2 linked regions of the Rhinolophus ferrumequinum genome follow. The protein of the gene in region 1 purifies or fractionates together with the protein of each later gene. This does not show direct contact. Links are inferred from orthologs where the notes say so. Each region holds a gene or a part of one and is shown in the gene's direction. Other genes may lie near its edges.

Region 1 (11,614 bases):
CTGTACCGGCCCGGGGGAGGCCCAGGGGGTCCTGGAGGTGGCGGCCAGAGACATTACCGGGGGCACACGGACTGCGTTCGATGGTGAGGGTCCTGGGGCCTGGGAGTGGGCAGCTCTAGGCAAGGGGATGGGGGCTTGGCAGGAAGAGGGCCTGGGTGGGTGTGGAGGAGCAGAGAGAGACGCTGCCTTGCTGCTCTGCAGACGTAGAAAAGGTGTCCTGGGTGGTCTTGAGAGATTGACCGCCTTCCATAGAGTGTGCTCTCCTCCACTTAGCCTGGCCGTTCACCCTGATGGTGTTCGTGTAGCCTCAGGACAGACGGCTGGAGTGGATAAGGATGGAAAGGTAAGGCCAAAATCAAACCCAGGTGGACAGGGTGAAATTCCAGCCCAGCTTCCCTTCGTGCCCCTGACCCCTCCTCCTCCCACTCCAGCCTCTGCAGCCTGTGGTTCACGTCTGGGACTCAGAGACGCTGCTGAAGCTGCAGGAGATTGGACTGGGGGCCTTCGAGCGGGGTGTGGGGGCCCTGGCCTTTTCAGTTGCGGTAAGCTGGCCCCAAAGCCTGTAGACCCCCATCTTCCTTGTCTGAGAACCCCCTTCTTGCACTTCATTGGGAAGCTTCAGAAGTTCTGGCCTTCCTGATCCGTGCCCAGCCAGTTCTCCTGAGAAAGGGACATGTGTCCACTTCTCCTGCCCTCCCAACCTCTGATGGCGCCCCTTGCCTAATGACCTTGAATCCCTAGACCTCTAGACCACACTCAGCTCTTGCGATATGTGTCCCCGTCCTTAGGATCAGGGTGCTTTTCTTTGTGTGGTGGATGATTCAAATGAACACATGCTGTCTGTGTGGGACTGCAGCCGGGGCACCAAGCTGGCGGAGATTAAGGTGAGGACTCCAGGAGGCCTGCAGGGCACCAAGGGTGGAGAGGTGGGAGTACTGGGATGCAGAGAGTGCAGACTTAGCCACACATTTACTTCCTTTCTGGCTGGGTCACCTCGGACCAGCCTCCCAGCTTCTCCGAGGCTGAAATGGGGACTACGGAAGTTCTTACCTCACAGGAGGCAATGTGTGAGGCACTGGGGTGACTCATCAGGAGGGACTGTGAGTAGTGCTCTTAGGGGACGAGGGTCTGGAAGGAAGGGGTTTCTGGACTTCTGTAGACCAGCTGTCAGGATGCACATGAAGAGAGTCAAGTAGAGTGAGGGTGCTCAGGGCTTGGGGTGGCTGAATCTAGTATCTTCCCTTCAGAGCACAAATGACTCCGTCCTGGCTGTTGGCTTCAGCCCTCGTGACAGCAGCTGCATTGTCACCAGCGGGAAATCCCATGTCCACTTCTGGAACTGGAGTGGTGGAGCAGGGGTTCCTGGGAACGGGGCCCTCACCCGGAAACAGGGTGTCTTTGGGGTGAGGTGTGGATGTGTGCAGGGTGGTCAGGGAGGGCAGAGTGGAGATGGAAGTATTGGTCTGAGGACCCTAATGCTACCAAACTCCCAACTGTCCCGTGACTTTTGGTCTTTGCTCTTCCCTCTGCTCTCTGCTTGCCTCTCGCCTAGAAATACAAGAAACCCAAGTTTATCCCTTGCTTTGTGTTCCTCCCGGATGGAGACATTCTCACTGGGGACTCAGAGGGGAACATTCTCACCTGGGGGCGGAGCGTCTCAGATTGCAAGACCCCAGGCAGGGGTGGGGCCAAAGGTATGTGGCTGTGGGTGGCATCTGGGAAGTCTAGTACCCCAGAGTGTCTGTGGGAACAGAGGATTACCCATTTTTTTTTTTTTTTGCTGTGAGTTGATAGTTCTCTGTGGACCCCAGCAGAGCCCTCTGGGGGGCCAGTCTAGAAGGGTAGGGAGCAGCATGGCAAGGGGTAAAGGGCGGAGGTTTTGGTGTCAGCCAGATCCTGTGTTCAAATCCCAGTGTTGCCACTAGCTGTCTCTCCTTTAGGAAGTTATCCCACTTCTTTGAGTCCCAGTTGTCCAGTCTGTAAACTAGGGAGAATAATAGCCAGGGATCAGAGATGGTATTCAGTAGGCACTCAGATGCTGGCAGTTATTACTTTATTATGACAGACTAGACTGCTCCCGTTCCCCACTTCCCTGCACCCCAAGAGCCTAACCCACCCAGGACTTTGCCAACAGAGACTTACGGGATTGTGGCCCAGGCCCATGCTCACGAAGGTTCCATTTTCGCCCTGTGTCTCCGGCGGGATGGGACCGTGCTGAGTGGTGGTGGGCGGGACCGCCGGCTGGTACAGTGGGGGCCTGGGTTGGTGGCCCTCCAGGAGACTGAGGTGAGGCCTGGACTGGGTTGAGGGAGGGAGGGGGATGACGAAGGGCCAGTGGGCCCCTGACTTTCTGCCACCACTCTAGATTCCTGAACACTTTGGGGCTGTGCGGGCCATTGCTGAGGGGCTGGGCTCTGAGCTGCTGGTGGGAACTACGAAGAACGCGTTGCTGAGGGGAGATCTGGCCCAGGGATTCTCCCCTGTGATCCAGGTTGGGGAGCCAGAGGCTTAGGGAGGAGGCGGGAAGAGCTGTTGGGGCGGGGCAGAGGTGACAGCATATGTTCTGCTGCAGGGCCACACGGACGAGCTCTGGGGACTGTGCACACATCCCTTCCAGAACCGCTTCCTCACTTGCGGCCATGACCGGCAGCTCTGCCTGTGGGATGGGGAGGGCCACGCGCTGGCCTGGAGTATTGACCTCAAGGTAGAGCCCTGTGTCCCTGGACCCCCAGTGCCACATCCACCATGACTCCCGTGGCTTGAGGTTCTTTCCTCAATATCCCCTTCCATTCTGCTCCCCAGGGGCAGCCAGTGGATACTGGTATATGGCTGTACGCTACTAGAATGTTCATTCTTCCATGCCGATGCCTCCAATGGGCCCCAACGCCCCAGACCTTCTCTTGATCCAGCAACTGACGGTTCATCTCCGGCCTAGCTGGGGGCCTCAGTTCTGGCTGTTAAATGTTTGAGTATCACCCGCCGTTTAGGCTCCAGTGACATCCTGCCTCCACCCCAGGTCTACCGTCCCTCTCCTCCTGCCTCCTCCTTGGGAGGAGGAGGCTTTGACCCTACCAAGACACCTATCAAGGTGTCTGTCTTGGTTCCCTCCCCAGAAAGGCATCTTCTTGAATTCACCTTCTCTCCTCTCGCAGGAGACTGGTCTCTGTGCAGACTTCCACCCCAGTGGGGCAGCTGTGGCTGTAGGACTGAACACTGGGAGGTGAGAGGGAGTCAGGACTCCTGGGAGGGGAAAGCACGAGGTATGGGGAGGGTTTCTGGTAATGGGAGGGGGTGTGAAGGAGAGTCATCACTACCTGCTCAGGAGCCCCAACTGCACCTTCCTGTTCCTCACTGCTTCTTCCTGCAACCTGGGCCCCCCTGCTCTCCTGTGTCATCTGTCATCACACCTTCCCCACCACTCTCCCCTCCAAGCTGGGGAGTGGAGGAGGTGGCAGCTCAGGATAGAGAAGCAGCAGGGATGGGAGGCGTGGGGAGACTAACACAGGGAAGTGACAGGCTTACGGACTCCATAAGGCTCTTGTAGTCCAGCCCTGTATTCCTTTAGCAGAAACCCTTCAGCTTTTATCTGCCCTTCGCCTTTTCTCATTTCCCAGCATATCAATGCAGTGCCTACTTCTTTGTCTACCTCATAGCCTTTCTGGGGGTGTGTCTGAGTCTCTCCAACTTGCCAGCCCCCATGCTGCCCAGCACACCTGCTTCCCGCTCCCCTCCCTTCCAGGTGGTTGGTTTTGGACACAGAGACCAGAGAGATCGTGTCTGACTTCACCGATGGCAATGAGCAGCTCTCAGTGGTCCGGTACAGCCCAGGTGGGAGCCATCCCCACCCCGGACCCAGACCGTTCCCTGGCCCTTTCCTGTCTGAGTGACTGTCTTTGTAGATGGGTTGTACCTGGCCATCGGTTCCCATGACAACATGATCTACATCTATAGCGTTTCCAGTGATGGTGCCAAGTCCAGCCGCTTTGGCCGCTGTGTGGTGAGGAAACTGGGGTGGAGGGTGGGACATTGCCATAGCAAGTAAACTCCTCAAAGGGTCCAGTGCATTAAGGGAGGTCCGGGGATGGGAAATGGGAGCTCCATATTTAGCCTCTTAACCTTTGCTCCAGGGTCACTCCAGCTTTATCACTCACCTTGACTGGTCCAAGGATGGGAACTTCATCATGTCCAATTCTGGGGACTATGAGATCCTTTACTGTGAGTGGCAATAGAATGGGCACGGGGAGAAGGTAATTGGGGTGGGTTCTGTGTGTGTGTGTGTGTGTGTGTGTGTGTGTGTGTGTGTGTGTTCCTCCTGGTAGGGAGGGGATGAAGAAGCCTATGTAGGGAGCTCCACGCAGAGGAGCTTTTAGATGGGGAGGTGGAGATGGGATTGGAGTCAGAATTTTACATATAGGAAAAATTTTGTGATTTGAAAAAAAGCCACACATACTGTTTTACACCATGTTTTTCTTGTTCCCACAAGGATTTGAGGGAGTTGAAAAATGCACTGAGAAAAGGCTGTTTTGAAAAAGTTTCTCAGGGCAGGTGTGGAGGGATTGCCTTATCTAGGGAGGAATAACTGATGAGAAGCTGTTAGGAGAACTTCCGTGAGAACTCAGGAAGCAAACGGGGCTGGGTTTTGCCTGGGCTGAGGGCTACTAAGGTGAGTAGATCACATGCCACTGCCTCAAGCCAGTCTTTCCAATCTGGCCTTCACGGCATGGCATCTTCCCCACCGAGGGCAGGGTGAGGGCTGAGCACAGTGGGCTCCGTCTCTCCAGGGGATGTGGCTGGAGGCTGCAAGCTGCTGAGGAATCGCTATGAGAGCCGAGATCGGGAGTGGGCCACCTACACCTGCGTGCTGGGCTTCCATGTTTACGGTGAGCAGGGACGCAGGGTTGTGGAACCCTGCAGGAGGGATGGGGGGGGGACAGGTGGAGCCTGCCCCGGGCTCGGAATGCTGGGCGTGTGTGGAGGGGTGGGCATCATGATACTGGCAGATCCAGTCCAGGAGGCCCCTCGGGCCCTCCCTCGGGAAGGATTGCCAGGAACGCAGCCGGTGGGTGGCCGCTGCCGCCGGAGCGCAAGAAAGGGTACAGCTCTGGGCTGTGGGTGGAGGCGGGGAGGAGGCCGGGCTGAGGCCAGCCACTGTGCTAGGCGTGTGGCCGGACGGCTCGGATGGCACCGACATCAACTCCCTGTGCCGCTCCCACAACGAGCGCGTGGTGGCTGTGGCTGACGACTTCTGCAAAGTGCACCTCTTCCAGTACCCGTGCGCTCGCGCCAAGGTGAGGCCTCCCGGGGCCTCTGGGGCTGGGCGGGCGAGCAGGGCCCGGGGCTGCGCAGCTCCCGCAACTCGACCTTTCCCCCAACCCAGGCGCCAAGCCTTGTGTACGGCGGCCACGGCAGCCACGTGACCAGCGTTCGATTCACTCACGACGACTCGCACCTCATCTCGCTGGGTGGCAAAGACGCCAGCATCTTTCAGTGGCGAGTGCTGGGCGCCGGGGGCGCGGGGCCGGCGCTTGTTACGCCCTCTCGAACCCCCTCCCTGTCCCCCGCCTCCTCTCTGGACGTCTGATCGCTGCCAGACCGGGCCCACCAGTCCCGCGGCGTGGCCCCGCCCCACGCGACACCCCTGGACCAGGAGCCGACCCTTTCTTCGACTTGGAGACATTCCCGATCGCGCATTTCCCTGGAGGGGGACAACGGCACCCCTGCACACACTGTATAGACCCGCTGGCTGAGCCGGGCTGCCCCAGCCTGGACCCTGATTCCCGCAGCCTGCTGAGGGGCAATAAACCAAAAAGCAAAGTCGCCTCCCAGTCCTTTTGTGGGGCGCGGCTGGGCGCCTCCGGGGCCCTGTGGGGGTGGGGATTAAGGAAAAGAGAAGCGCGGAAAGGGTGAGGGAGCGTAGACCATTCATGCAAATGACAGGCAAAGCCACTTGCAAATAAGCCCGCGAAGCGCAGGCATGCGAGTCTTTCGGGGCCGCAGGAGGAGCGGCATGGCTCCCGCGAGGAGAGAGTTAAGCCCAACTCTTCTCGGCGTCGGAGGAGGGGCGGAGCTGCAACGGAAATAACCGAGCGCGGGGCCCCGGTTGGCCGGAGGGAGCCGAACTGCTTCCGGAAGTGGCCGATCTGTGGGGTCTCGCTCTCCGACCTGAGTCGAGCGCCGGGCCTTGTTCTCCCGGTCGACCGAAGGTATTCCGGAAGGAGGCGAGCCCCGAGGCGGGCAGGGTCAGCCTTCCCCGCGGCCGGCAGGGCCCGAAGTCTGGTGGGGCTCTGCGAGGGCGGGAGACTCCGGAGCCTGGCTCTGGGCCGGCGGGAGCCGAGCTCGTTCCGGAAGAAGCCGAGCGGACCGGCGCCGGCCTCGGCGTCCCCGGTGTGAGGCAGTAGCAGCGGCGGCGACAGCGCTGACCGAGATGAACCGCGACGGCTGAGGCAGCGGAGGTGCCGGCTGCGCGGGCTTGACCGAGACTTCCGCGAAGCGCCAGCCCCGCGCTCCGGGCTTCGTCTCGAGCCGAGCCCTACCCCCCCGAGCCTCCCGGACCCCTTTGTGCGGCCAGAGGCGGCGGCGGGAACGGCCATGGCGGCCAACATGTACCGGGTGGGAGGTGAGTACTGGGCGCGGGGGCTGCGGGGCCCTGGGCGAGAGCGCCTCGGCCCCCGGCGGCGTGGTTCCGAGAGTGGACCGGAACCGGAACCGGGGGCACGGGGAGCGAGGGTGCTGGGACGGCGACGCGACCCGGCGCCGAGGCTCGCGGAGAGGCTGGGGGCAGCCCCGACGGCACTCTCAGGGTTGTGTCTGGGGTCCCCCGGGTCGGGAAGCGGGGCTTGGGAAAGTGGTTCCAAAGGAGCTGACAGGCAGGCAAGGGGCGCGACGGGCCCGGGCGACCGCTTTGCCTCTTGCGGGGGAGCCACCGGGAGGTTTCTTCTCCCCAGGCGTTATGTGCGCCTCGGTTCACAAAGGAGGGGGGGCCTTGCGCTAGAGTGAACAATAATTGCTCCCTTCCCTGAGCCTAGAGTGCAACCCCATCGCTGAGGTGGTACTGCAGGGGAGCCCCCTGCTTCTTGGTTCTTTCTGAAGGCTCGCTTTTGAACGAAGGGTCTGACTTTAGAACTAGGTGGCCAGGGGTAGGGGCATCCCTTGTTTTCTCTTAGTCTCTCCACTTACACATTTCAGCGTCCTCTCTACCTGGACCCTTACCTACTTTTGGTCCTCCCAGGCCTGCTTTGGTCTCCTCCTACCCTAGTACTTTGGCTCTCCCGTCTTCTCCTGATTTTTTCGGTTATTCCTCACCGCCTCCTACAGATTACGTCTATTTTGAGAACTCCTCCAGCAATCCTTACCTGGTTAGACGGATTGAGGAGCTCAACAAGGTGAGTGGAACAGAATCCATCCGCCAACCCCGCTTCCCCAAAGTGATCTCTTTTTTCTTAGGTCTCTAACTTCAGGTGGAGGGGGAGGGTGGGGAGAGAAACCTATCCTAAGTACCTATTCATATTCATTCATTCATTCATTCATTCATTCATTCATTCAATGTATTCAGGAAAGGCTGGCTATTAGAGCTTAGTGGGAACTTTAGTGTTCTATCTCTTGTGGGCTAAAGAAAGAGATTTGGAAGTCTGTGCTTAAATGTAAGTCTCATTCCTAATTTCTGGGTGTTTTCTACATCCCTTAGAAACTTATTGTTGTTAGTCTCTTCTTTGTGCATTTTTATTTTCAAATGACCAGTTTTCACTGCCATTTTCCCCCCTCCCCCTAGACTGCAAATGGAAATGTGGAGGCAAAGGTTGTGTGCCTTTTCCGGCGAAGGGATATTTCTGGTAGCCTCAACAGCCTGGCCGATAGTAATGCCAGTGAGTGTCTTTGTACCCCCACCCTACCCTCGGCTCCCCTTCCGCCCCTTCCCGGTGAGCTGAGGCCTGGGCATGTCCCTGCAGGTGTTTCTCCTGGTTGCATGCCCTAGGTAGGGGTGTGAGCTTGGGGGTGGGAAATGCCTGTTCTGTGGAGGGAGGCCTGTTTTTAACCGTTGGATGGAAGCAGCGCGAAGAGACCATGATAAGGAGAGCCAGAATGTGTCTTGTGTGTAAGTGTGTCTAGGTGAATGGTGTGGGTAAAGAGATGATAGTATTTAAATAGGGCATGAGGAGGAGCTTTAGAGACGCAGGACCCTTGGGGGACAGTTTGGGTATGTTGGGACAATGGGTCATGGCCGAAGGTCAAGGTGAAGAGGATGAGATTGTACTTAGAAGCCTGCACAACAGGGAAGCAGGCTTATATTGTGATCACCAGGTGGTGAGACTACATTGACGGGACAGAATAGGAAGTGAGGAAAGTTTTCTTGCACTTCTTCCTCTTTCTCACCTCTCCTGTTTTCCCCTCTACTCCATTTTATATCTTTCTCTTTTCCTGTAGTCGTCTTCCTTCTCTTTATGCTTTCACGTTCTTTCAAAAAATATATCTCCTTCACTTTTCTTTAGTGTCCTGTTCCTTTCCTGCTTTGACTTTCCCCTTCTTCTTCCTCCTTCCTAAATTATTTTCCTTCTTCCTGGCTGTTGTGGGCATGAAGGGGTTAAGGAGGAGCCGGGCCTACCAAGTTCTCTGGCCCTTTGGGGTTTCCAGGCCCATCTGGCAGGGGCTGACCTTGGCCTTGTCCAATCAGAAGGGGTGTGGGGGGGTGTGGGAGGTGTGGTCCCCTCCTCTTAGCACAGGGTTTCCGGAGCACACAGGCGAGGGGTGGAGCCTGCTGGCCTCCCCCCCCCACCCCGCCCCCCCTGAGGTTGGGAACAATGCACCAATGAGCCTGGGCCTGTGGCTCTTTTGCCCCTTCCCACTTTGGTTGGTGCCCAGCCAGGTTAACCCTTTCCACCAAGGTTTCAGGGCAAGTTGCACTTACTTGGGGAGGAAGGTATTGGTACTGGCTTGAGAGGTGCTGTCCTTGAAAGCCCCACAAACTATTATTAGCCAAGTAGAAAGTGAGGAATAGTTAGGGTTGCCTGTGATGTTTAAGAGCAAAGAGTCTCCTGAGCTCTGAAAAGAGGAACTGGTAAACACAACTTTGTGTGATGTGTTTTTTAATCTTACTGAGTTTCTGGATCTCAGGCTGGTTTAGCAAGAAAGAGACCAGTGTGATATTCTTGCTGGGCCTGGTGTGGGCAGATTTGTGCTTTATGAATGGTGTCTGAGCATTGGCACCTGTGTTTGGGATGGATTTCTGTGGCATTCTTCATATTCTCAGCAGCTCTTCCTAAGAACATTAGTGCTGGAGAATTGGGAGCATCTCTGATGGGGCAGAGGGCTAAGCGTGAAATCTGAGGGGGTGAGGGGATGGAAGGCAGATGCCTGGGGAGAGTGGGAGAAACAGCTGAGACAGGAAGTATTCTCCTTGGGCTAGAGTGTCTGAGGTGGCTTCTTTCTGGATTAGTTTCTGACTTGGTTTCTTCCTCCTGAATCTCTCAGGGGAGTTTGAAGAGGAATCAAAGCAGCCAGGGGTGTCGGAGCAGCAGCGACATCAACTGAAGCACCGGGAGCTTTTCCTTTCTCGGCAGTTTGAGTCGTTACCAGCCACCCACATACGGTATGGGACAATTGGGGCCACTGTGGCCAGCAGGCCCTTATTTAGAAGATGGAAAGGAGGGGTAGTGTACTGGGGATGCTGGGGAGAGGGCATGAGGAGCTCACCCAAGGTCTTCTGGTCCCTCTCCTGTAGGGGAAAATGCAGTGTGACCCTCTTGAATGAGACTGATATCTTGAGCCAGTACCTGGAAAAGGAGGTGAGCAAGAGGTATTGGGAGAAAAGGGAGGGGAGTGGGCATTGCCCCCAAAGGCAAGAGGAAAGGAGGAGTGCGATGAGGTATAGGTTGACAGACTGCCTGTCTTGGGAACTCGGGGTGTACCCCACTGCCCCATGCCTGTGAGGACTGCTGCCCTGCTTACCTCCTCTCTTCCCGTCTCCAGGACTGCTTTTTTTACTCACTGGTGTTTGACCCTGTACAGAAGACACTTCTAGCTGATCAGGGGGAGATCCGAGTTGGTTGCAAATACCAAGCTGAGATCCCAGATCGCCTGGCAGACGGTAAGCAATGGCACAGGCTGTGTGGCTCCTGGGTTATCTGACATCGTAGTCTCTGTGAGTCGTGTGCGCTGGTGTCGTGCAGTGCAGTCTGCGTGGCTCTGTGCTGTGACCCTGACAAAATGAGACCTCAGGAACCTGGAAGGGGCAAGTGGGCACAGTTGGGAAGAGAAGCCTGAGAGTTGAGGTGGCTGATAGAGTCCACTCGGGAGATGAGGACCAAGGTGCTGTTGTGAACTTCAAGACACCTGTTATTCTCCTTTCCCTCTCCCCATGATGCCATCGCCCCAGGAGAATCTGATAACCGGAACCAGCAGAAGATGGAGATGAAAGTCTGGGATCCAGACAACCCTCTCACAGACCGGCAGATTGATCAGTTTCTCGTGGTGGCCCGGTGAGGGGCGGGTGGTTGGGGAAGATGGGCTGGGGGAGGTGTGGACATCATTCTGAGTCCTGCTCTTAGAGGTGGGCATTATTTTTTTGTTGTTGGCTTGGGTGTTTTTCTTTTTTTCTCATCAGGCTTATTCCCTTAGCCCACTTGCGCTTTCCTCTTGCCCTCCTGACTTCTTAACTTTTCTCCTAGAGCGGTGGGGACCTTTGCGAGAGCCCTAGATTGTAGCAGTTCCATTCGGCAGCCAAGCCTGCACATGAGTGCAGCCGCTGCCTCCCGGGATATCACCCTGGTGAGCAGAAGTTGGTGGGAAGTCGGGCAGGCTGGGCTTTGTGGGGATCTGCAGAGCCTGGGGAAAGGAGAGGAGGGTGTGTCTGAGCAAGTGGGTGCATTGAGAGAGTAAAAGCAGGGGAGCGTGCTGAGGGTTTCAGGTCATCAGCAGTTTCCCACTTTCCCTGTAGTTTCACGCAATGGATACATTACAAAGAAACGGCTATGACCTGGCGAAGGCCATGTCAACGCTGGTGCCCCAGGGGGGGCCAGTGCTGTGTCGGGATGAGATGGAGGAATGGTCTGCCTCGGAGGCCATGCTGTTTGAGGAGGCCCTGGAGAAGTACGGGAAGGACTTCAATGATATTCGCCAGGACTTTGTAAGTGGATGGGGCTAGGAGGAGAGATAGAAGAGATGACAGGTCGGGGAACCAGGTCCTGGGGCCAGATGCTAGCTCATCCTTCTACCCTCTGACCCCCTTAGCTACCCTGGAAGTCACTTGCGAGCATAGTCCAGTTTTATTACATGTGGAAAACCACAGACCGCTATATTCAGCAGGTATGGTTTGGGCTGGGGAGGCTGGACCACAGGCCACCTACTCACCTCTGCCTTTGAAGTTGATGACATCCTACTGCTAAGATGCTCTGATCCTTCTCTTTCTTTCCTGCAGAAGAGATTGAAAGCTGCTGAAGCAGACAGCAAACTGAAACAGGTCTACATCCCCACCTAGTAAGTGTGATGGGTAGGAGAGCCTGGCATATTTTCCTTTTCTTTCTCCAACGTGTGCTTTTTCCTCAGTGATTAGGGGTGGGCAGGAGACAGGGTCAAATTATTAGAGAGGAGTGGAAATGGATTCTTTGTCCTGAATTCTTTC
Region 2 (11,843 bases), on another chromosome or scaffold:
CTTCGTCCATCCGTTCATTCATCACAACACTTCTGGGCACCTCCTTTGCACCAGGACCTGTGCAAGGTCTTGGGAGGGGCAGTGAACAGGCGACTGCTCCTCCCCCACTCAGGTCAGCAGCCAGCCCAGAAATGATGATAAAACCAAAGTGTTGACGAGTGTAATGAAGTTGGTACGGGAAGAGAGCTCCAGGTGTCACTAGGGGTCCCTGAGCACATGGCTGCAGCCTATGGGCCTGTGCTGAGCGGCCCATGGCGGCTGCAGACCCACCATGCACAGCAGTCACCCTGGGTTGGCGACCCTGTGGGAGGTGGGGGAGCAGGAATCCCAGGTCCTGGCTTGCCCAGAGTTTAGGCTTCTTGTCCATGAGTCACAACCAGTGAGCACAGCTGGGCAGGGCCAAACCTCACGTGGCAGGGATGTCTGCAGAGATGGCACAATCCGTGGCGATGGGCCCGCAGTGCACCCAGGGGGTCTCCTCACCATACCTCCCAGGACACCGGTCCTCACGGGCCTCCCAGGACACCGGTCCAATGTTTCCTCGTAGGAAGGGCCTGTGTGTGCACCCTCGTTAGGTGTGGCATGTGCCAGCCCAAGGCAAGCATGAGGTGAGGGCTGTCCCAGAAGAGCCCTACCCCTGGCTGTAAGTCTTAGGCTTCCCGGTGGGCGTCCGCTCTCTCTAAGAATCCATTTGGCTCCCCAGAACATGTACTGTGGACTTGGAGGGTACAGGTGTTCCAGTTCTTCAGCTTTGGGCTGGGTGGGGCCCTCAAGACAGCTCTCGATGCTTCCTTCTGCCTTTGGGAAAGTGGCTCCTTCTTCAGTGGAGGGGAGATGGGCTGAGTGACGAGGGGAGCCTCTGGCTGGGCCCCTGACCACTCTGACCAGGCACCCCTCCTCTGCAGCCACTGCCCACTTCAGCTTCTGCCGGACCCTCCTGGAGCACACGGTGTCCACCGAGAGCATCCCCTGCCACCTGCCTAGGACACCAGGCACCAGCCTCACATGGCATGACTCACGCAGTCAGAGGGCAGCAGGTGGCCGGCCAGTCAAGCTCCTGCAGCAGCCTGGCACAGAGACCCCCCAGGTACCCAGCCACCGTACCCATCTCAGCCCCGGCCATCCCCACCACCTCATTCTATCTGCTACCCCTCTCCCTCACAGGGCTGGCTGTACTCTGACCACTGTGGCCTGTACCACACGAGTCCCTCACTGGGTGGCCTGACGAGGCCTGTGGTCCTGTGGAGTCAGCAGGACGTCTGCAAGTGGCTCAAGAAGCACTGTCCCCACAACTACCTCGTCTACGTGGAGGCCTTCTCCCAGCACGCCATCACCGGTGCTGTGGGGCTGGGGGCTATGGGGCTGGGGGCACGGGGATCCCAGGCGAGCCTGTCCTTTCTCCTCTTCCTACCCTCTCCTGTTTCCTCCTGAGTCAGCCTCTCCTCCGGTCTTTGTCTCTGCGGAACCTGCCACTGTGTTTCCCAGCCTCTCTGTGTCTTCATCTGGCTTTCCTCTGCCTCTCCCTGCCTTTCTCTCCGCATCTGTGTGTCTGTCTCCCTGCCCATTTCCTCTCTTTCTTCCTCCCCTTCCCCCCATCCCCCTCCCGCCCCCCCACCCCGTCTTTCTGCATCTATGTGTCTCCGTGTCCCTCCCCACATTTCCTCAGTCTCCCTCTCTGTTTCTGAGTCCCGGCCCCCTCCTCCCCCCCCCCCCCCCCGCCTTGGCTCCGATTGCCCACCGGAAGTTGACTTCGGCCCCGCCCCTCTCCCTGCCCCCAGGCCGGGCGCTGTTGCGGCTGAACGCAGAGAAGCTGCAGCGCATGGGGCTGGCGCAGGAGGCGCAGCGGCAGGAGGTACTGCAGCAGGTGCTGCGCCTGCAGGTGCGCGAAGAGGGGCGGAGCCTGCAGCTGCTCAGCCAAGGTCAGTGGGAGGAGCCAGGAGTGCCGTAGAGGCCGGGGAGGGGGGCGGGGCTGGAGGCCTGAGTGTAGGGTGGGTGGCGGGACTCTGGTGTGGGACCCCAGTAAGGGCCATCCTGAGCCCATGGCAGAGGGGACGATGCCAGAGACCCCCACTCCTCACCCCATCCACCCATAGCTTCCTTCGGAAACATGTCCTAGCTGCTGCCTGAGGCCTGAACCCCAGACCCCAGCACTGTGACCGGAGCCCATGGCAAGGACGAGGCAGAGCTGGCCATGCTGCCCCTCTTGGACCCTGCAGGCATCCCCAGGGGCCGAGCCGGGCCCAATGGACTGGTGTGACCAGATTTGCCCGTCCAGCCACCTGTGGTTGTGCACTCTGGGCTATGCCTAGGGTCGGGTGCGTGGAGGCTGCTTGAGTGTGGCCCCTTCTCCCAGGACCTGAACCGAGGCCCACCCCTGGTGCTGCTGGCAGCATGTGGGGCAGCCACCTGGGGCCAGAGTGGGGTTTGGATGGTCCCCAAACTCCCAAGGAGTGATTATTTATATTCCCTTCACCCATGTTGACGTCTGTCCCCCATTGCTGGCTGAGTCACGTTTCCTTGGGGCATCCTGCCCTCTCCCAGGGTGAGAGATCTGTCTGTCTACCCACTTGTCCAGTTCAACACCCTCCTCCAGCTCCTAGAGAAGTGCCCACAGAGGTGGGATAAACTGCCAAGGCTCCCTGTGCCCAGCCCCTGACCCCGCCAAACAGGCTGAACCCACTGCCCAGATGATGGCCAACAGCGTCCATCTGGCCAGGCATCCTCCCCGCCACCATGCCCCCATCTAGTCACTGCAACCGAGGTGAGGCAGGTCCGGGATTGCCCAAGCGCCCGAGAACTAACATGGCACGATAGGGACCCCACACCTGGCGCCCAGCACTGGGCTCAGCAGTGTCCTAGCCTGAGGTTTGGGAACGTTACCCTCCTCTCAGGGTAACTTTACCTCTCTGGAGAGAGGTAAGTTACCCTCTCTCTACTATGGAGGCAGAGGAATGGGCGGGTATTCCCAGGGAAATCCACATCACAAAGAGACTGTCCTGAGGGCTATGCCGGCCCCCCCCACCAGAGACCCAGTAGGCACCTGAATAACCACTCTCTCCTGGCCCCAAGGGCTGAGGTTTGGGGCTGGTGCTGCCCAGCAGAGGGGACAGTGAGGGCTGTCCTGCTGCCTCGTCCCTCTTGTTCCTCTGCCCTCCCACTCCCCTGAGGGGCTCTGAAAACCTCAGTTGGGGGGTGCAGACAAGGCTGAGCACCCCGCCCCCTCTGTTCCCTGTGCTGGCTGCCAGAGAGGAGGTTGGTTGGTGCATGTCACGGGTGGAATTTGGACAATTGGCCTGGTGCCCCTCCCATCCTGTATGTCCCCCCATGGGAAGTCCCCTTGTCCTGTCTAGCTGCCCTGAGTGTCCCTGTCCACCTGGTGCCATCACAATGGCGCCCTTTCCAGAGGGCCCTTCCCATCTCTGCCCCCCTTCTTCCTTTGTCTTGCTTCCCTAACCCCCATCCCCAAGCTCCTGTCCTGTCTTCTTTGTTTTGTGTTCACTTTTTATATTCTGATAAAAAGACCAGAAATAAACCTGGTTCTCAAGTGCCCCAGTGTGGTGTCCAGCTGAAGTCATCTGGAGTGTGAGGATGGGCACCGCCCTGGGTCTGGGATGAGGGGGTTCCCAGCCCAGCTGCCTCCAGCCCTGACCACCAGGGGGCAGTGATGTCACATCCTGGCAGGGTGCCTCTTTATGCCAGGCGTGGGGGAACTGAAGGCAGAGGCTGGAACTGGGCTCAGGCCGGTGGACTGCACTCAGAGGCACACAGGTGTGATAGGTTCCTGGGTCTGCCATAACAAATGATGACAACCGAGAGGCTAACACAACAAACTCCTTCTCTCACAGTTCTGCAGGCCACGTCTGAAACGCAGCAGGGCCTGCTCCTCCGGGCTCAGGGGAGAGATCTTTCCTTTGCTCTCCCAACTCTGGTGGCTGCCTGGAAATTCCTGGGTTCACAGACACGTCACTGCACCTGGACCATGTGGTCACATCACCTCTGACCTCCCAAATCTCCCTTTTATAAAGACACTTATCACTGGATTTAGGCACCACCCGGATAATCCAGGACGATCTCATTTCCAGGTCCTTAACTCAATCACATCTGTAAAGACCCTTTTTCCAAATAAGGTCATTCATAGGTTCCAGGGATTTGATGCGGATGCCTTTTGGGGGACTCCCATTGGAGTCCCCCACAGGGCAGTGCCCTGACATAGGAATATACAGGACATAGCATGTGCCCTGACATGTACCCAGGCAGCAGCCAGACACACAGATAGTAACAGAGGCATAAACCAACCACTGCAGTCTGAACACAGATACCAACACTCTGAGACAATGAAACCAGTATCCAGACCCACAACAACACACCCCAACACAGCGTCCCAGACACACAATGACCGCTTAACATACAAAAACACCTGGGGCATTGCACACCCTGTATACAAACACATGATATTGCATGATACCCTGATCTCCAGACATGCCGCAGCCGGGACACGTCTGTGAGTACCAGACACACCCCCACGCCCTATGTCCAGTCACCTGGGTACTGACATACAGACAGGCATCTTGTCAGTACAGGATACAGACATACCGTGACACTGATGTTCAAACAGGATGCCACCTGACCTACATGGTCACTCGGACACATACCCACCGACATTGACATGGCACACACACAGACATGCAGACTTAAATGGGGAATGCTGACAAAACTGGATGCACCTCAGGGCACACACACTGACCCCTCCTGAAATCCTGAGTGTCCTATCCCCAGGGTGGGCCCAGTCAACAACAGAGGGACATTCCTTCTTCCTCCTGGTGTCACACAGACCTCTCTCTGGCTCTGATTTCCAAGAGAAGGACTGACCGACTGACCCCTCCACAAAGGGACTCCACCTTGCCTCTGTGTGAGCACTTTGTGCTGGCATCGAGAGTGGATCCCAAGGGTCCCTGTGAGAAGAGGCAGACCCCAAGTTTGCCACATCTTTTGTGCCCTGCGCACCAGCAGTGCAACCCGAGCCTGCTCCTATGTGACCAGAGGGGTTGGAGTGCAGGCGGGTGCAGTGTAAGGACAGCGGTGGGAAGGGCCCCAGGGACTGAGGTGCAGCCTGTAACTCTGCTTCCCCACTGCCACCCCTTCCTGGTTCATTCACTCCCAAGTCCTGGTGGGGTCGGTACCCATCACCTCAGACCTGATACCAGTGTCCTTGCAGAAGACCAGGTTCTGGGGCAAAGAGGAGCCACACACTAGCCACCGGTCTAGGAACACCCCCCCCACCACCAAAGCTGACAGGCTGCTCCAAAGATGGTAACCCCAATAAAGGCCTGCCAGCGAGCCTCAGAGGATGGCCACAGGCAGAGGTGTCACAAGGGTAGCTGGAAAAGAAGCCGGACTCTGCTTTTCAGGCAGAAGACCCCCAGGGGTCAGGGGTTCAGGGTCTGGGAGGGCGATGGCCACACCTTCCCAGGGCCAGGGCGTAGAGGAGTCCGGCAACTTCAACCAGAGCGCGCTGGGTTTGGGGCAGTACGCTGCGCCCCTATGGTGCCTCAGTTTACCCAACTGCCTGAAAAAGGCCTCCCGCCCTATGGGCCACATAACTGGTCACTGCACTGGAGGCCTGGCGGATGCATGTGATGGACCCGAGGGTACAGAAAGCCAGCTAGCCCGACGGGCCCCCTCCCCCCGACCCGTCCCTCCCCGTAGCGGAGCGGCCGCAGGAATACCGCGAGAGTTCGCCCCCTCCCCTCCCCCCCCACAGTAAAACTGTCAAAGGTGGGAGGGGCGGGAGCGCGCATGTGCGCAGCGCGGCGCGCAGCCTGCGCCGCCCGGACCCTGCGCCCCGCGCCCCTGTCCGGCCCCGGCCGGGCCCCGGCCCCCGCCCCGCCGCCGTCCCGCTGGGCGCCGCAGGTAAGCGCCCGGCCGCGACCCCGGCTTCGACCCCGGAGCAGCCCCTGCGCTGGCCGCGCCCCCGACCCTGACCCCGTACGCAGGTCGGGGGCACCGCGCGGGAGCCCCCGCCCGCCGTCCCCCGCCGCGTCTGGACCCCCTGCGCCGCGCCCCGCGCCCGGCGCGGGCGCCGGGTTCCTGCCTCCTCCTTCTCCAGAAAAAGTCGCCATTTTGGTTCACTGCCTTCGCCCCCCCTTCCCCAGGCGCCCGCGATCGGCCCTTCCGGGGCCAGGCCCGGCCCGCACCCCGGCCGCAGGTGACAGGTGGGTGGTGAGGCCAGCCTCCAGGTGTGCATCGTCTGGCTGGCTTCCTCTGCGCTCCCGGGCCTGAGCCCGGGTCCAGGGCCCTGCGGCCTTGGCGGTGGTCCTGCTGCCAGCGTCGCCTGCGGTCAGCGCGCGGCGCCCCCTACCTCCGTGAGGGTCCCACTTCTTCGTCTCTGCTGGGCCCTCCAGGAGGGCGGAAGCCCTTTCTCCTGGTGCCAGACTCATAGGCCCTGGATGGAAGGAGGGTCTCTGCTTCCTAAGCCAGCCCTGGCCCCAGGCCCCCCAACTCTGAAATCTCCACCGAAGCTGGAGAAAGACTGGAAAGTGGGGTCCCAGCAGGTACTCGCACCCCAGGCTGCTGGGGTCATCATGGGTCTGGGGTGACTGACTGACGGTGGCTCATCTCCTTTGGAAGTTGCAATGTGAGGACGTCCACAGAAGTTAGTACAGACCTATCTAGACCCAGACATACCTCCCTCCAGGCCCAGGCTATGGGCCCAGCAGGGCAATGGGCAGTGACGGTCTTGACCTCTGACCTCCTGCTGCCCAGATAGTTTCTGTACCCTCTTAGGGAGAGCAGCCCCTTTCCATCCTCTGATCTAAGTTAGTTAGAAACTTCCAGGAGCGGGGTCACCTGCCCACACAATCTGCACCCCCAACCCCCACTCTCTGTGGCTTCCGTGTCCCTGTGGGAGGACCCAACAGAGTCCCTCCAGCTCTCCGGTCCATGGAGGTCCAGCCTCAGGTAGTGGATGTTCCCTGTGGCTGGTGGCCAGTGGACAGTGGTCTCAGGAGTGGTGCTGGTGGGCCTGTCGGTGGGGAACAGAGAGGTTCTGGGAGTTGGAGGTACGGAGGCCAGTCAGGTGGAGGGCGGCCGAGAGGCCCAGCACGAGGCCTCCATCTGGGCGGAGGGGCCCTGGCTGGTACAGGCCAAGAAAAGTCAGGTAGGATGGCTGCACTGCCATGAGGACCAGACCCAGGTGCCACACAGTCCACAGTGCTTGGTCTGCCCCCCGCCCGGGGGTGCATGCCTTTGGGGAGTGGGCAGGAGCCCTTAGCACCCACATTGGCTATCTTCCATGTATGTCCTGGGGAGGAGGATCCAGGGCCACCCGCCTCGGTAGTGTGGCATTGCCTTGCGTCTGTGCAGGAAGCTGTCCCGAGGTGCCCGGCCCACAGCCATACTGGTGTCGTAACTGGCCCCCAGGAGGGATCCTTCCGCCCGAGCACTCCCCCTCTCCTGGGGCCCCCAGCCCAGCTCCAGGTGTGAGGTGTGTGATTCACGGCACATCTGGGACTCTGTGTCTAGGGAGGGAGGGAGCTCATCGGACCTGGTGAGGGTCTCAGGACAGGGTTGGATCCTTCCAAGCTGATGGTGTCTCCAGGGTCATCTGGCCCTTCTAAACCAGAAGCCCCCTGTCACCTGACTTCCCTGTGACCAAGAGCACAGCAGACAAGTCCCTCCTGCCCGTGGCCAGAGAGCAGGCCTGTCTGGGAGTGGGGTACAAGGGCAGCCATTTCAAGTCCCGAGTGGGCCCTGGGGGGCCTCACAGGTCTGTCCACTTGCTCTGCAGCGATGACCGATCCCTTCGGTGTGGGAGGCGGCCGCCGGCTCCCGGGGTCCAGCAAGAGTGGGACTGGGAAAGAGGGCAGCCGGAATGAGGTCCGACTTCCTGTGCGGCACGACCCACCGAAGCTGGGTAAGAGGGCTCAGGCCAAGGTCAACTCTAAGCTGTCACGGTCAGCTAGTGCTGGGTGTGGGCCACCTCCCCAGATGTCCCGCTCCTGGGTGCCAGGTGGGCCACCTGGGCTCCTGAGAGCCTTCCCAGGGCAGGGGCCTGGATTCTTGTCCTGCGGCCTTTTGCCCTCGTGCCTTTGTGGTGGGGGTAGCAAGGCTCACTCCAGGTCTGACCAGCCTTCTGTGTCGTGTCCTGCAGGGCTGTCGGTGGCCCGGGGTGGGCAGATAGTGCCCAGCCAGGCCCCACTCTGCTTTGACCCGGAAAGTCCAGCCAGCGACAGGACGGAAGGAAAGAAAAAGGGGCGTCCGAAAGCTGAGAACCAGGCCCTCCGTGACATTCCCGTGAGCTGCCTGAGGGCAGGGTGGGCACAGGTGGGGTCGGCCTGTTGAGGCCACTGCCCTGCCTCTACTTGCCTTCCACACGTCCAGCAGCATGCCCTCGGCCCATGTCAGCAGGCCAGTCTGTGCTTCAGGCCTTCGTGTGTGGCCTGGGCCTAGCTGACCACGTCCGTGAGGCCTCTAGAACAGGTCTAGTGCTCCCTTGCTGCTTGGGGTGCATTCCCGAGGTCCCAGGGCTCCTGTAGCCCGTCTGCCCCACAGGCCTGAGCAGGGTGCTGAGTCCGGGGCTCGGGTTGGCAGAGGCTTGCGCGGCTGAGGGGTCAGCAGCCCGGCCTTTCCCACGCCCAGCTCTCCCTGATGAACCAGTGGAAAGACGAGTTCAAGGCGCACTCAAGGGTGAAGTGTCCAAACTCGGGGTGCTGGCTGGAGTTTCCCAGCATCTACGGGCTCAAGTACCATTACCAGCGGTGCCGAGGGGTAAGGGGCTGTGGGTCGGGGAACACGAGGCCTGAGCCTGTGCTGCCTAGCTGCTGGGGTGTGTCCGGGCAGCGGCCCGGGCGACCCACCCCATGCCTGCCCTCTCCTCCCAGGGTGCTATCTCAGAAAGGCTGACCTTTCCATGCCCCTTCTGTGAGGCCGCCTTCACCTCCAAGACCCAGCTGGAGAAGCATCAGATTTGGAACCACATGGATCGGCCCCTGCCCGCCCCGAAGCCTGGGCCGGTCAGCCGGCCAGTCACCATCAGCCGGCCCGTTGGAGTCAGCAAGCCCATCGGAGTGAGCAAACCTGTCACTATTGGCAAACCCGTGGGTGTCAGCAAACCCATTGGCATCAGCAAGCCAGTGACGGTCAGCAGGCCGGTGCCGGTCACCAAGCCAGTGTCGGTCAGCAGGCCCGTGCCGGTCACCAAACCCATACCGGTCACCAAGTCTGTGCCGACCACCAAGCCAGTGACAGTCAGCAAGCTGGTGCCAGTCACCAAACCGGTGACTGCAAACAAACCGGTGCCGATGACAAAACTTGTGACAGTTACCAAACCTGTGCCGGTCACCAAGTCAGTGCCGGTCAGCAGGCCCATTGTGGTCAGCAAGCTGGTGACCGTCAGCAGACCCATAGCCATCAGCAGACACACACCGTCCTGCAAAATGGTGCTGCTGACCAAGTCTGAGAACAAAACTCCTCGAGCCGCGGGGAGGGGCAGTGGTAAGAAAAGGTACGGGGGCTCCTTCCCGGCTCGGGGTTCGGGTGCTCCCCAGCTGCAGCCTGGGGTCACAGGGCTCCGAGTGCGCCTTCCTGCCCCTCACCTCCCTGCTCCCTGCAGGGCTGCAGACAGCCTGGACACCTGCCCCATCCCACCCAAGCAGGCGAGGCCAGAGAACGGGGAGTATGGGCCGTCCACCATGGGCCAGAGCTCGGCCTTCCAGCTGAGCGCAGGCTCCAGCAGTGGCCCCCTTTCTCTGGGCAACAGGCCTTTGGGGGGCAAGGAGGCGCTGAGGGCAACAGGCCCTGTGTCCCCACCTGCGGAGGGAGCGGAGCGTACAAAGCACAGTAAGAGGAGAGCGGGGGGGGGGGGCAGATGGCTGGGGGGGTGGGCAGCGGCCAGCCTCCTGATGGTTATTTGACCAGAATCTCGGTCCCCATTTTCTCTCCCCCGAGTCAGGAAGGAAACAGAAAACACCCAAGAAGTTTACAGGGGAACAGCCATCTATTTCAGGAACCTTTGGACTCAAAGGTGAGGCCCCTGCCAGCCGGGCGCCTGTGGGGTTGGGCTGGTGCAGGGTGCCTGTGCCCTGGGCCCACACCTGCACCTCCTCACGTTTGCTCACAGGCCTGGCCAAGGCTGAAGACAAATCCCGCGGCTACCGCACCAAGAAGCAGGAGGGCCCAAGCGCCGAGGACGTCCGGAAGAAGGTGCCGGCCCCTGCCAGCACCGTCATCAAGGAGGTCCCGGCCCCTGTGGCCCACCCGGTCCCAGGTGGGGGCTGCTGTGTGCTGGGGCCCAGGCCAGGTCTCAACTGTGGGGCACGCCCTGTAGCACACGGATGGGGGGTTGGCCATGGACCCTGGGTCCTGCACTTGGCGTCCAGGGTGCCGGGAGCCCCCACCAGCCCCTGAGGCCCTGGCCCTGTCCCCCAGGTGGCCCTGAGGAGCAGTGGCAGAGGGCCATCCATGAACGGGGACAGGCCGTCTGCCCCACCTGCAGGGTGGTCGCCCGAAAGACCCTCGTGGGCCTCAAGAAGCATATGGAGGTTTGCCAGAAGGTAAGGCTGCCCGGGAGTGCCAGGAGGGGCGGTGCCCAGGTCCAGCTTCTCATGGGCAGGGCCATGTCTGCAGCTGCAGGATGCACTCAAGTGCCAGCACTGCCGGAAGCAGTTCAAGTCCAAAGCCGGCCTCAACTACCACACCATGGCTGAGCACAGCGCCAAGGTACGCCACTGGGCCCAGCTGCCGCCCAGCTCTGACCATTGACCCCTGACCCCTGGCCGCCCACTCTATGCCACCCCACCCCACCTGCCCAGCCCCAACCGCTGACCTTTCACGCCACACTGTGGCAGAGCCTAGTGGCCCCAGGCCTGACCTTGGACATGGGCAGGGGCAGGGGCCCTTGGTGGCGGGGGCACTGAGGCTGGGCCTGCCCCCAGCCCTGTGCCTCCGGGGCCTCCGAGGGCAGCGAGCAGGAGGAGCGGGAGAGGCTGCGCAAGGTGCTCAAGCAGATGGGGAGGCTGCGCTGCCCCCAGGAGGTCAGTGGGCAGCGTGGGGGTGGGTACGGGGGGCGGCCCGGCACCGCCCCTGCTGGCTACTTACAGGCCCCTGACTCCCAGGGCTGTGGGGCCGCCTTCTCCAGCCTCATGGGTTACCAGTACCACCGGCGACGCTGCGGGAGGCCGCCCTGTGAGGTGGACAGCCCCTCCTTCCCCTGCATCCACTGCGGCAAGACCTACCGCTCCAAGGCCGGCCACGACTACCATGTGCGCTCCGAGCACACGGCCCCGGTGAGCGGCCAGGCCTGCTGTCCCAGGCACCAAGCACTGGTGTCCATGTGTGTGGGGGGGTGAGCCTCGGCGCCCCGCTTCTTGTGTCCCCCACACACTCACTCGCCGTGTGGCTCCTGCCGCTCACCCAGACCTCCTCACCCCACAGCCCCCCGAGGAGCCCGAGGACAAGTCCGCGGAGGCTGAGGACCTGCTGGGTGTGGAGCGGACCCCCAGTGGCCGCGTCCGCCGCACCTCGGCCCAGGTGGCTGTGTTCCACCTGCAGGAGATTGCAGAGGATGAGCTGGCCCGAGATTGGACCAAGCGGCAGATGAAGGATGACCTGGTACCTGAGACTGCACGGGTGAGTCTCAGAGGATGGAGCTCAGCGTGGGGCCCGTGACCTGGCCCACCAGCCCACCTCCCCAGGGTCACGTGTCTGTGCGGGGAGGCACAGTCCGGGGCCTCTTTAGAGCAGCTGGGGGAAGTCCAGGCTCAGCTCCAGCCCAGTCGCCCGCGGTCACCCTGGTGCCTGCCTGTTTTTACAGCTCAACTACACTCGGCCAGGCCTCCCCACGCTCA

The links.
Region 2: the proteins of MTA2 (region 1) and ZNF512B purify together in Homo sapiens (affinity purification with mass spectrometry; 3 studies listed by BioGRID and IntAct, with this or other methods). This does not show direct contact. The link is inferred for Rhinolophus ferrumequinum from reciprocal best matches to the Homo sapiens genes MTA2 and ZNF512B.

What each region holds. Positions count from the first base shown.
Region 1 is NC_046294.1:8,173,012-8,184,625, forward strand, and holds the start of MTA2 (metastasis-associated protein MTA2), read left to right. Parts: upstream 1-5,961; 5' UTR 5,962-6,588; coding exon 6,589-6,616; intron 6,617-7,314; coding exon 7,315-7,382; intron 7,383-7,768; coding exon 7,769-7,862; intron 7,863-9,465; coding exon 9,466-9,583; intron 9,584-9,715; coding exon 9,716-9,779; intron 9,780-9,963; coding exon 9,964-10,081; intron 10,082-10,369; coding exon 10,370-10,472; intron 10,473-10,661; coding exon 10,662-10,761; intron 10,762-10,930; coding exon 10,931-11,119; intron 11,120-11,223; coding exon 11,224-11,298; intron 11,299-11,410; coding exon 11,411-11,469; intron 11,470-11,614. Other genes in the region: EML3 (echinoderm microtubule-associated protein-like 3), read left to right, coding at 1-83, 274-343, 432-542, 789-884, 1,248-1,403, 1,553-1,694, 2,135-2,286, 2,366-2,491 and 8 more. UniProt on the Homo sapiens protein: May function as a transcriptional coregulator. Acts as a component of the histone deacetylase NuRD complex which participates in the remodeling of chromatin.
Region 2 is NC_046306.1:208,614-220,456, forward strand, and holds the start of ZNF512B (zinc finger protein 512B), read left to right. Parts: upstream 1-5,853; 5' UTR 5,854-5,910; intron 5,911-7,362; exon of another isoform or gene 7,363-7,483; intron 7,484-7,786; 5' UTR 7,787-7,788; coding exon 7,789-7,912; intron 7,913-8,149; coding exon 8,150-8,292; intron 8,293-8,637; coding exon 8,638-8,766; intron 8,767-8,879; coding exon 8,880-9,502; intron 9,503-9,610; coding exon 9,611-9,837; intron 9,838-9,949; coding exon 9,950-10,021; intron 10,022-10,117; coding exon 10,118-10,264; intron 10,265-10,425; coding exon 10,426-10,550; intron 10,551-10,623; coding exon 10,624-10,716; intron 10,717-10,931; coding exon 10,932-11,030; intron 11,031-11,111; coding exon 11,112-11,282; intron 11,283-11,430; coding exon 11,431-11,625; intron 11,626-11,809; coding exon 11,810-11,843. Other genes in the region: SAMD10 (sterile alpha motif domain-containing protein 10), read left to right, coding at 906-1,087, 1,165-1,336, 1,779-1,919, 2,094-2,116. UniProt on the Homo sapiens protein: Involved in transcriptional regulation by repressing gene expression. Associates with the nucleosome remodeling and histone deacetylase (NuRD) complex, which promotes transcriptional repression by histone deacetylation and nucleosome remodeling.